Linked DNA regions of Caenorhabditis elegans. The protein of the gene in region 1 purifies or fractionates together with the protein of each later gene. This does not show direct contact. Each region holds a gene or a part of one and is shown in the gene's direction. Other genes may lie near its edges.

Region 1 (5,934 bases):
TCCAGGAGGACCACCCCCACCACCTCCACCACCACCAGCCGACTTCTTCGCCAACATTGCTCCGCCACCAGTAGATGCTGACAAGGCAAGCCGTGATGCTCTCTTTGCTTCGTTGAACCAGGGAGAGGGAGTTACTTCTAGACTGAAGAAGGTCACGGCCGATATGCAGACTCACAAGAACCCAAACCTCCGAGGAACCGCTGTTGTGCCAGCCGCTGGTGCTTCTCAGGGCGGCTCATCTCCTGCCAAACCAGCTGCTCCAGTAAGGAAGCCACCACACAAGGAGCTGGAAAACGGAAAACAATGGATTGTGGTAAGTGTTTCAACAACTTGAAAAACATATTCAATAAGCATTATCAATGAAAAACTATTTACAGGAGTACTTTGTCAACGATCCAAACATTGTTCTCGATGTTGCCGATAAGAAGCAGACTGTCTATATCTACCGTTGTGAGAATTCTGTGATTAAGGTCAACGGAAAGGCCAATTCTATTACTTTGGACGGGTGCAAGAAAACGTCTGTTGTGTTTGATGCCCTTGTGGCTCAGTGCGAAACTGTCAACTGCCAATCTGTGCAAATTCAGGTAATCAGAAGACTTTTAGTTGTACAAGCTTCAATACAAGCTCAAATACAATACTATTTTTTTTCCGTCTGAACATAAAATTAGTTTCTAAATAAAAAATGTGAAAATAAATATTTGGTTTTAATCGTTAAAATCTTCCAAATTACTAATAAAGTTCAGTCAACTATATGCTTCGAAATTCACTGAATCTATTATTGTTATTAATTTTTAGACCCTTGGAGAGCTCCCAACTCTTTCAATCCAGAAGACTGATGGATGCCAGGTGTACTTGTCAAAGGTGGCTCAAGGATGCGAGATTGTCACTTCCAAATCCAGTGAGATGAACATCTCCGTGCAAACCAATGATGATGGGGATTATGTAAGTTTTTCGGATTGTAGAACCCAATCTAAATTTCCTTTTCAGTCGGAGTTCCCGGTTCCGGAGCAGTTCAAGACAACTTTTGTCAATGGCAAGCTAGTCACTGTCGTCTCGGACATTTGCTAAATCTTCTCACGTCATAACCTTATTTTTCAACTTCATGAACTATCCCCTCGAACTTTTTTATTTGTCCCTGTCTACAATTCTTTATAAGCAATTGAGACACACTTTGCTTTATTAAATAATACCGATTTTGTTTTGTATATGCATTGACTGGTGCTCAACTATTTTTATTGAAAAAATTACTTTTTACTGTCTCGTCGAATAAAAGTGATCCCTTCCAAAAAATAGTTATTCATGTTTGAAGGTTTGTGATCGTAGAACAATTGCACCGAATGTAGTGTAAAAAAAATTCCAGAATGTTCAAATACATTTCCACCCTCACCAGAACATCTCAAACACCAGGCACATTTCAACACACTTTCATGGATCTTATCTTGCCTCAAAACCATCAGCTTTCTTCTCATTCTACAAGTATGAAACAATCTACTATTCTATACATTTATAATGTAATGGAACCATGTGAAGACATGAGCAAGATCATTGTCGTCAGCGACTACCCCTCCTTCATTTTTCTTAGAGTATCAGTTTGCTAATGCTATTTTTTTTATCGCTATCAAGTTATAGAATGTCATGGATGCAAAACCTGAAAAACTACCAACACCTTCGGGACCCATCCGAGTACATGTCCCAGGTTTATGGAGACCCGTTAGCGTACTTACAAGAGACGACTAAATTTGTGACAGAAAGAGAATATTATGAAGATTTTGGTTATGGCGAATGTTTCAACTCTACAGAATCAGAAGTACAAGTGAGTTTACGTAATTTTCAAATTGCAACGGTAAATTTTATTTTTGTATGCAATTGTATTTTGTTCCCAGTTTTTGAAATATTCGTTATATACATTGAAGTTTTTCAACTGTAAATTTGAAGGCCCGTATTTTCTTAATTCTTCGATAAGTATTTTGTCTTTATAACTACTAAGTTTTTGCTGAATCAACTTGTTTATTTTACTTTGATAGCTTATCTGCAAAACTGTACCAAAATTAAAAACCAAGATTTTTTGTTTTGGAACAATATAATCAAAACGCTTAAAATGTTCAATAAACGGTAAAAAAAATAAAACTTGCAAAAAGTCGCAGCTGAGTAATCTAACATTTCCGAATTTCAGTGTGAACTTATTACGGGAGAATTCGATCCAAAATTGCTACCCTATGACAAACGTCTAGCCTGGCATTTCAAAGAGTTTTGCTACAAAACATCTGCTCACGGAATTCCCATGATTGGTGAAGCTCCAAACGTATATTATCGAGCAGTTTGGGTCGTACTTTTTCTTGGATGTATGATAATGCTCTATCTTAATGCTCAATCTGTGCTTGACAAATACAACAGGAATGAGAAAATTGTCGATATTCAATTGAAATTTGGTAGTTTGAAAAATCATGTGCTCCTTACTGAGCTTTTTTATTTCCAGACACTGCACCTTTTCCAGCAATTACGCTTTGTAATTTGAATCCTTACAAAGCAAGTTTAGCAACAAGCGTGGATTTAGTAAAGCGAACGTTGTCAGCATTTGATGGAGCAATGGGAAAAGCCGGAGGAAACAAAGATCACGAAGAGGAACGCGAAGTTGTCACCGAACCACCCACCACCCCTGCACCCACCACAAAACCGGCACGTCGTCGAGGAAAACGTGATTTATCTGGAGCATTTTTTGAGCCAGGATTTGCAAGATGCCTTTGTGGAAGCCAAGGGTCTAGTGAGCAAGAGGATAAGGATGAGGAGAAGGAGGAAGAGTTACTTGAAACAACTACCAAAAAGGTATTTAATATTAATGGTGAGTGTTGCATGTCAAATGAGCATCGCGTAAAACATTCTTTTGAACACAGATGCCGATGAGGAATGGGATGGAATGGAAGAATATGACAATGAGCATTATGAGAATTACGATGTGGAAGCAACTACTGGAATGAATATGATGGAAGAATGTCAATCAGAGAGGTAAAGTCTAGTCTAACAACTTTGACAAAAAAGTGTTTGAAAAAGTCTAGTCTTACAATTTTGAGGTACGGTAAAGTTTGTCCATTTTGATAAGTCCAATTTTTGAGAAGGCTCAATTTTGCCTTCCATAAATTTGAAATTCATATGGTTCCAAAATACAGAAGTTCATAATGAGACGTTTCGAAATGTTCTCCACAAATCTTTTTTCTCGTTCAGAACAAAATTCGACGAGCCGACGGGATTTGACGATCGGTGTATTTGCGCTTTCGATAGATCAACTCATGATGCGTGGCCCTGTTTTCTGAACGGAACCTGGGAAACCACCGAATGTGATACTTGCAATGAACATGCTTTCTGCACCAAAGATAACAAAACTGGTAGGTTTTTCAATCACTTTGCCAAACTAGCTTCACTTGTTTGATTTTACTCTTCTTAATTTTTATTGTTGTTTTTTTCTAAATCGGAATTTTTCAGCGAAGGGCCATAGATCCCCATGTATTTGTGCTCCATCTAGATTCTGTGTAGCATACAACGGAAAGACGCCACCAATTGAAATTTGGACATATCTTCAAGGAGGAACTCCAACTGAAGATCCAAACTTCCTTGAAGCTATGGGATTTCAGGTAACAATCACAAATATATAAATCAAGTGGAAACTGAAAAGTTTCAGGGAATGACAGATGAAGTTGCAATTGTCACTAAAGCCAAGGAAAACATCATGTTTGCAATGGCTACCTTGTCAATGCAAGATAGGGAACGGCTAAGTACTACAAAAAGGGAACTTGTCCACAAGTGCTCGTTTAACGGAAAAGCGTGTGATATCGAAGCGTTAGTTAGGCTTTCAGATATGATATAAATTCAATTATTCAGAGATTTTCTGACTCATATTGACCCTGCGTTTGGTTCGTGCTTTACCTTCAATCATAATCGAACAGTAAACTTGACTAGTATTCGAGCAGGTTAGTTTCCTCAAAATTTTTTCCACATATTTTTTTCTAAAATAATTTTTGAAGTCCGTTATGTATAAACCAAAAAACGTGTTCCGATTCCAGGTCCCATGTACGGATTACGTATGCTGGTTTATGTAAACGCGTCTGACTATATGCCAACCACGGAAGCCACAGGCGTTCGTTTGACTATTCATGACAAAGAAGATTTCCCATTTCCTGATACGTTCGGTTATTCTGCTCCAACTGGATATGTATCCTCATTTGGATTACGATTGGTATTAGAAATTCAAACTCTTTTTATAGAGTAATGGTGTTGTTGTTTTCAGCGAAAGATGTCACGTTTGCCAGCACCTTATGGAGATTGTGTGCCAGATGGCAAAACATCGGACTATATTTACAGCAATTATGAATATTCGGTAGAGGTGAATAGTAAACAGAATTTAAGCAAGTTTAGTAGGAAAAATGGGTCATAGAAACTTTGTGATTCTTGTTAAAATAGCAATTAAATATAGAACTTAATATGATAACAGAGGGAACTATTCCAGGGCTGCTACCGTTCTTGCTTCCAACAACTCGTGCTGAAAGAGTGCAGATGTGGAGATCCACGTTTCCCAGTCCCTGAAAATGCACGGCATTGCGATGCAGCAGACCCTATTGCAAGTTAGTTTCAAATTTGACATCTCCATAAATATTTTTTTCTGCAGGAAAATGTCTTGACGCCAGAATGAATGACTTGGGAGGCCTACACGGATCTTTCCGTTGCAGGTAACTTTTGAATTGTTATATACTTTTTAAATAAAAAACTGCAATTTCAATTTTAAGATGCCAACAACCATGCCGCCAGTCAATCTACTCCGTTACATACTCGCCGGCAAAGTGGCCGTCGTTATCTTTGCAAATTCAACTAGGATCGTGTAATGGTACAGCGGTAGAGTGTAATAAGCATTATAAGTAAGTTAATTCAAGAAAAAACACACTTTAAAATTGGGCCTATTTGAGAGAGAACGGAGCAATGGTGGAAGTGTTCTACGAGCAGTTGAATTTTGAAATGCTCACTGAATCAGAGGCTTATGGGGTGAGTTGAAAAATTTAGGCAAAGAACGTGTATCAAAGAAATGTATCAAAAAAATTCGAAAAAATGCCGAATTACTACTAGCGAGCAGGCAAAAAAAAATTTATTTTTATTCCAAAAAATTTATCTCAACTATTTCTAGTTTGTCAACTTGCTAGCCGATTTTGGTGGACAACTCGGTCTTTGGTGCGGAATATCCTTCCTTACCTGTTGCGAATTTGTGTTCCTTTTCTTGGAAACTGCCTACATGAGTGCCGAACATAACTACTCTCTGTACAAAAAGAAGAAGGCTGAGAAGGCAAAGAAAATTGCGTCTGGATCTTTCTGAATTTGTTTTTTCTTGTTTTAAAGTTACCATTGCAATGTTGTGTCTTAAAATAAAAATTTACATGAGAATAATTGAATAATTTTGGGTAGGAAATTATTCAATTAATATTTTACTTACAATAGACACAAAGAAGTAGGAGAAGGGGAGTTTAAAAGACAGAAAAAAAAACTACTGAAGAGAAACATATAAAAAACAGAAACAATCACTCGCTGAAGGAAAATCTATTCACAGAAACAAAGGGGGTGACAAGTCAAGTCATAACTTTAAATAATTATTTGTATGGTTACTTGTCAAAATTGGCTGAAAATGAAAGCGGCACTAGAATAGCATCAATTAAAATACGTGGCATTTACGGAGGTGAAGGGGGGAGGGGCAAAACCAAACAGAGTCAAGAAAAAAAATACAAAGATACTGTAAGCTGCAACAAAGTGAACCAATATAAGAAACGGGGGTTTCAAGCTTAATACAAGGAATGGAAGAAATAAATTTTGAGACAGAAAAGTTGAATTTTACACAGAGCATTGTTGGCATCAAGGAGTGCTTAACGAGCCAGTGTTCCAATCAATGCGGCGCAAATCTCA
Region 2 (5,033 bases), about 11 Mb from region 1:
CTCTTACTTTTAATGCAGAGTAAGCTTCTGCTATTCTTGATTGCGTGATGGCCATAGAAGTCGCTTTCGAGGCAAAGTCGGAAATCTGTGTGTTGAGAAGAAAAGGAAGAATGAGTTAATGAGGGCTAGGAAAAGTGAGACGAGAGCTCGAAATTCCTGAGAGCACCTAAAAGCGTCCACCCAAAGAGTGTTAACGTTATGTTTCCCATTTTGCAAAATTGTCAGATACTTCAAGTACTTTCAACTTTTTCAATAAGCCCCCGCAACGACAAGGTTGATTCAATTGGTGTGCATCCTTTTTTCATAACACATACACACATGAAATACATCTTCCATACGTTATGTGTATTTGCAAAAAAAACGCTTCACACCGGAATGACACGTTTCCGCACTCTCAGTTAGCAACAACTGGAGTGTGTTCAAAACAAAAAAAAACGAGAATTCGCAACCAATCTGAAGATGAAAACGGCTAGTTCAAATGGCTTTGTGCATTCGTCATAGTTGTTTCTCAAAACACTCCCAATGGTTTTATGATACTTAAAAATATAATGAAAAAATCTCAAGTTTCACATAATCCATCTTTGTGTCTTTTTTCGAAAGTTATTCTTGACGATGGCGTGGGAAACATATAAACAATACAACAAGAAGTCAGAAGGAGGAGGATATAGTCAGGAGGAGGAGGAGTGAAAAAGAGCATTTAATGAAAATGCAGTGAATCGTAAAGGACTAGATGTTGTAAATTGTGTGTCTAGTTTAATTTTTTACACGAGGAATTCATGAATAAGAAATATAATACAAAGTAAGAAATATGGAAAATTCGAACTAACAAAAAAGGGTATACTGACAATTTTGATAACAGTTGTCAAAAAAGGACCATATGCAAAAAAATACGTTTCGTAAATAGTTGTTTGTTTTGAAAATAGGGGTTATTAAAATGTTATGGCTAAATATCATAGTAAAACAAACTTATACTCTAAAATTAAAACAAAACATTTCTTCGATACATTTTATTTCTATCTTTATTTTGAATTGAGTTTTGGAAATTGTGGAAATTAAGCTGTATGTTTATTTTTGGGTTTTTTAAACTTTAAAATTTATTTTCCATTTTCCGCCTTCAATCCAATCATACATTTATATTTTAGAACACATTTTTAAAAGTAGGTCGTATCATCCAAAAATGTATCAAATTTTTTAAAACCATTTTTTGTTGCAAATTTAAAAATCATAAAGAATTTGGATAATTGCATAATCATTTTTTAAAGAGTTTTTTACAGCACTCTGTCCCTTTGACCCATTTTCTTTAATTTCATACAACCTAAAATTATCATAGTTTTCCCCAAGAGGTAACATTGAAAGTTAGGAATTTTCATAAACAAATTGCGTTAACGTGAGGAATCTGATAAGAAACGTGGACTACTTTTAATTACAAATTTAGAGAGTGTTGAGAGTTTCAGAAGAGTTACAGAAGAGTTATTTCAGCCACCATTATGTATCTCATGATTAAATGTATTTCTAATAATAGTTATTTAAAACTATATCATTTGAAATTAATTTACGGCTTCGAAGCGTTTCGATTTTCAAGAAAATTTTCAGCTTCCCAGGTTTCCCGTTCACTGTTTCCATTCGCCTTTTCCCGCCTGACCTTTTTCCCAAGAAACTACTATTCTAAAGTCCGACCTAACATATGCATATAAGTCCTACTATTCAAGTTTCTGGCAACTTCAAGATCCCAAAACGAAAATGTTCTCGAAACTCTTGCATTACAATGGACAAGTCACGCCAGAGACAATAGGCTAGTAGCAAGTTCTTCGCTGCACTGTTACCCCTAACTGTTTTCTTTGCATTTGTAATCAGGGACGTCATATACCAATTGGAGCAGAGTCGTCTTCTTTTTGGGGTGTGAGCCCGGCTTGCTCAACGAAATCCATACATTCGAGAGTACATCCCACTATTCGCCGAGTGTTTATGTGTCATTCGTGAATCGTGTCCCAGTAGTCTGTGACTGAATGCCCACACATTCAATCTATGAGCGCCACAATGTCATCAGCTCGCAATTCGGTCGTTTCACTATCTTCAAACGGCTCTGTCAAGGTCGAGACTCGATTGGTTAGCAACGAACGGAGCTCTAGTATTCAACAGGAGGGCGCCATGCTCCCATCATCCAGCTCCAAAGACGATGATCTCTTATCAACGTCATCGGACGAAGTTGAGAATATGGCGACCAGGACTTTACAGCAACTTGAAGAGGTGTGTGTCTATTAAATTTTTTGGTTTCCGGATTATCGTATTTGTTTCCGCTGTAGAGTACATCAATCATCTCGGCCAACAGCGACGATGACTCGGTGAAAAAAGAAAAGCAAGCTGAAAAGGATGTGGAGAAAGGAAATGGAAAAGAGGAAAAAGGTAGAAACTACAATCTTTGTCACTTATTTGATTGAATTAGTCATACATATGTAGAAACTCGTGCTTTCATTTGTTAAGTGACAACTTTAAGGTTCAAAATGCTGCTTTACTCTAAAAAAATGTTCGAAATTGTTTAAAATTGTGACACGCTGTTGTTAAAGCTTTAACAACTTATTCAATTATTTAAATTTCTGAAAACTGATGTAAAATACAGTATTTTATTGGGTCATATCTTAGTTGTCCTTTGTTATATCTTTGAAAAAAAGTCAAATGACGAATGCTGTGTTGTTTCTATTTTCATTGTTCTGTAGTTAATCATTTAGTGGTATTCTCACAATGAACCTAAATTTAATTTTTCAAAATAAAACAGTGAAGTGCAATACAAATAGAGGAAATGCGGTTAGCCGACAAGTAATGCTTAAATGTAATTCGAGTTAACCTTGGTACCGATTTGTCTCACAAGTTTCTGGTTATATATACTTCGGTAATATTCTTTATCATTTAAACGTTTGAATGCGCCAGTGGAATTGTGAAATACTACTGGTAAATAAAAACCAACCAAATATAATAATAAAACGTTTCAGTTTTTGAAAATGTTTTATAGACAGTCAAAAAGTGGCGATTTCTGAGTTCATGCTACATTTTGAAAATGCTAAAAATCCCTTGTTTGGCGAGACCCAAGCGCCTACATAGAATACGGCAAAGTTTCTCACCTTTCGACTTCTACATAATATGAAAATTCATTATTTTTAACAGTCAAGTTCAACACAGGCTGGCTCATAATTTTCAATGATCCTGTTTTTTTCTGATCTCTATTTCTTGTCGTATACATGTCGTCGTGCTTCGCCAATTCTCATGATGAAATTCAATAACAAATTCTGATTACTAGTTGTAACACCTCCAATTCTGGTTTTCCTTTGTTTTTTTTCTTGTAGCAAGTTGAGTTGTTTGATATAACTGAGTTCTTAAATCTTATAAACGAAAATTAAGAAATCAGTACTAATAACTAGAAACTATATATTGAAGAAATTGGAGATGTTGTAACATTACGCGTTTGTCGTTCCTACAAAACAAAAAAAATAGCAACAGACTTTCTTAAGCTTAAGGCTTAAGGTGAATTAACAATTAACTACGTTGAACTCAACGATTCTCGAATCTGGTTGAAAACAGCAAATTTACCGACTCATTAATAGTAATTGAATATCAGTACGATTGTTTACTACTTATAAAAAATGGCAGCACCGGTTAGACGTTCCTTTTAAGTGTCATTCTTTCAAATTATCGTGAACTTCCCTTTTATTATCCTGCTCGCACCGGTGTTTTCCACATATTTTCGCAGTTTTCAGTTTTTAGTATTTCCCAGCGTTCCAGCTCACCACGAGGTACCCGACTGACGACAAAAATAATAGACATATTTAGCAGATAAGCAGTCGCTAAGTAAATGAGAATTCTACTTGTTTGTTTCGTCTTCTGTCTGTTCCCGAACCCCTCCCTGTCAGGAGTTTATGTCTGAAAGTAGTTTACGCACCTCATTTTTCTTTCTCGCTTTCATAAGCCAGATGTATATTGCCTCTGGAAAATAGCCTCTCTTTCGGGCCTCGGTTATTTGTATGTTTTTCAACTTAGTCGGTTTTTGTCGCGGGACTCTTTTTTTCCTGTTCCCTTTTTCTGAAAGTTTGGGTGTTGTTTGAAGAAAAAATATAAATAAAAAACAAACGGTGTTCTTGACATATCATTTTGAATATTATGCACGTTCTCGGTCTGCCTTTATTTTTAAAATATTTTTGGCGGCTGTTTTGTAACAAAATTCAGTTTTTATTTTCTTTAGCACAAAATTAAAAAATAACCCGTTCAAAAAGATTGACTTTAAGAATTCTGAGAAAAGACAAATTATTTTTAAGTTTTTTATTGTTCCTGTCGTCGAAGTAAGGCATAACAAAAATCTCATTTTAGAAACGATGTTTTTCACATTTTTTGTTTTGTTAAAGTTTTCTACAAGAAAAGTAATTTGGAAGAGTGAAAGAGTTTATCACAGTAGAGAACACTGCAACCAAAAAAAGCAACAAAAACATAGTCAGAAGAAGTTAGTCACACTATGAGCTTCGTCTTCTTAAACAAAAATTTTCGGTTCGAAGAATTTAAGCATTCCCTCTTAAATTTTTACGCTTTCTCTAGTTGTTCAATGTTTACTCTGAGTGCAATCATCGAGAAAACGTAATTTTCTCTCTTTTTTGGCCTTTATGTCTGAAAAATCTTTAATTAAACATAAAAGTGCTTTCGTCCTATTCTTTCTTGATTCCACACAATGGAATTAGGCATGAAGCAGATATGCAACATTGGTGTGGTTTTAAAGTCTACCTGCTCTTTTTTCGTTTTCTCAACACAACCAATTTAGGCCATTCGTTATAAATGCAAATCTCTAAATTTCGAAATTTCAGTAAAAAAGCAATGCTTTCTCAGAAAACGTTTGTTTCTCAAAATGGAAAATGGCTTCACAGTTAACCCCATAAGTTGCCAATAGTTTTCCTCATATATTTTCCTAAACTTTTTTTTTCAGTAGTTCCTCAAAATAAGCATACATCAAATTATCAAAACACGATTAAAACATTTTATGTAGAAAAAATTTTTCT

The links.
Region 2: the proteins of mec-4 (region 1) and mec-2 purify together in Caenorhabditis elegans (affinity purification with western blotting; 4 studies listed by BioGRID). This does not show direct contact.

Annotation. Positions count from the first base shown.
Region 1 is NC_003284.9:16,802,811-16,808,744, reverse strand, and holds mec-4 (Degenerin mec-4), read left to right. Parts: upstream 1-1,629; 5' UTR 1,630-1,630; coding exon 1,631-1,813; intron 1,814-2,173; coding exon 2,174-2,429; intron 2,430-2,476; coding exon 2,477-2,839; intron 2,840-2,891; coding exon 2,892-3,003; intron 3,004-3,219; coding exon 3,220-3,380; intron 3,381-3,477; coding exon 3,478-3,626; intron 3,627-3,673; coding exon 3,674-3,831; intron 3,832-3,873; coding exon 3,874-3,962; intron 3,963-4,055; coding exon 4,056-4,228; intron 4,229-4,279; coding exon 4,280-4,375; intron 4,376-4,498; coding exon 4,499-4,613; intron 4,614-4,657; coding exon 4,658-4,718; intron 4,719-4,775; coding exon 4,776-4,904; intron 4,905-4,952; coding exon 4,953-5,028; intron 5,029-5,167; coding exon 5,168-5,353; 3' UTR 5,354-5,424; downstream 5,425-5,934. Other genes in the region: cas-1 (C-CAP/cofactor C-like domain-containing protein), read left to right, coding at 1-313, 378-584, 796-942, 988-1,068; aak-2 (5'-AMP-activated protein kinase catalytic subunit alpha-2), read right to left, coding at 5,895-5,934.
Region 2 is NC_003284.9:5,573,944-5,578,976, forward strand, and holds the start of mec-2 (Band 7 domain-containing protein), read left to right. Parts: upstream 1-2,025; coding exon 2,026-2,247; intron 2,248-2,303; coding exon 2,304-2,403; intron 2,404-4,002; exon of another isoform or gene 4,003-4,057; intron 4,058-5,033. UniProt on the Caenorhabditis elegans protein: Subunit of an amiloride-sensitive cation channel (degenerin channel complex) permeable for sodium, potassium, lithium and N-methylglucamine, and required for mechanosensory transduction (touch sensitivity).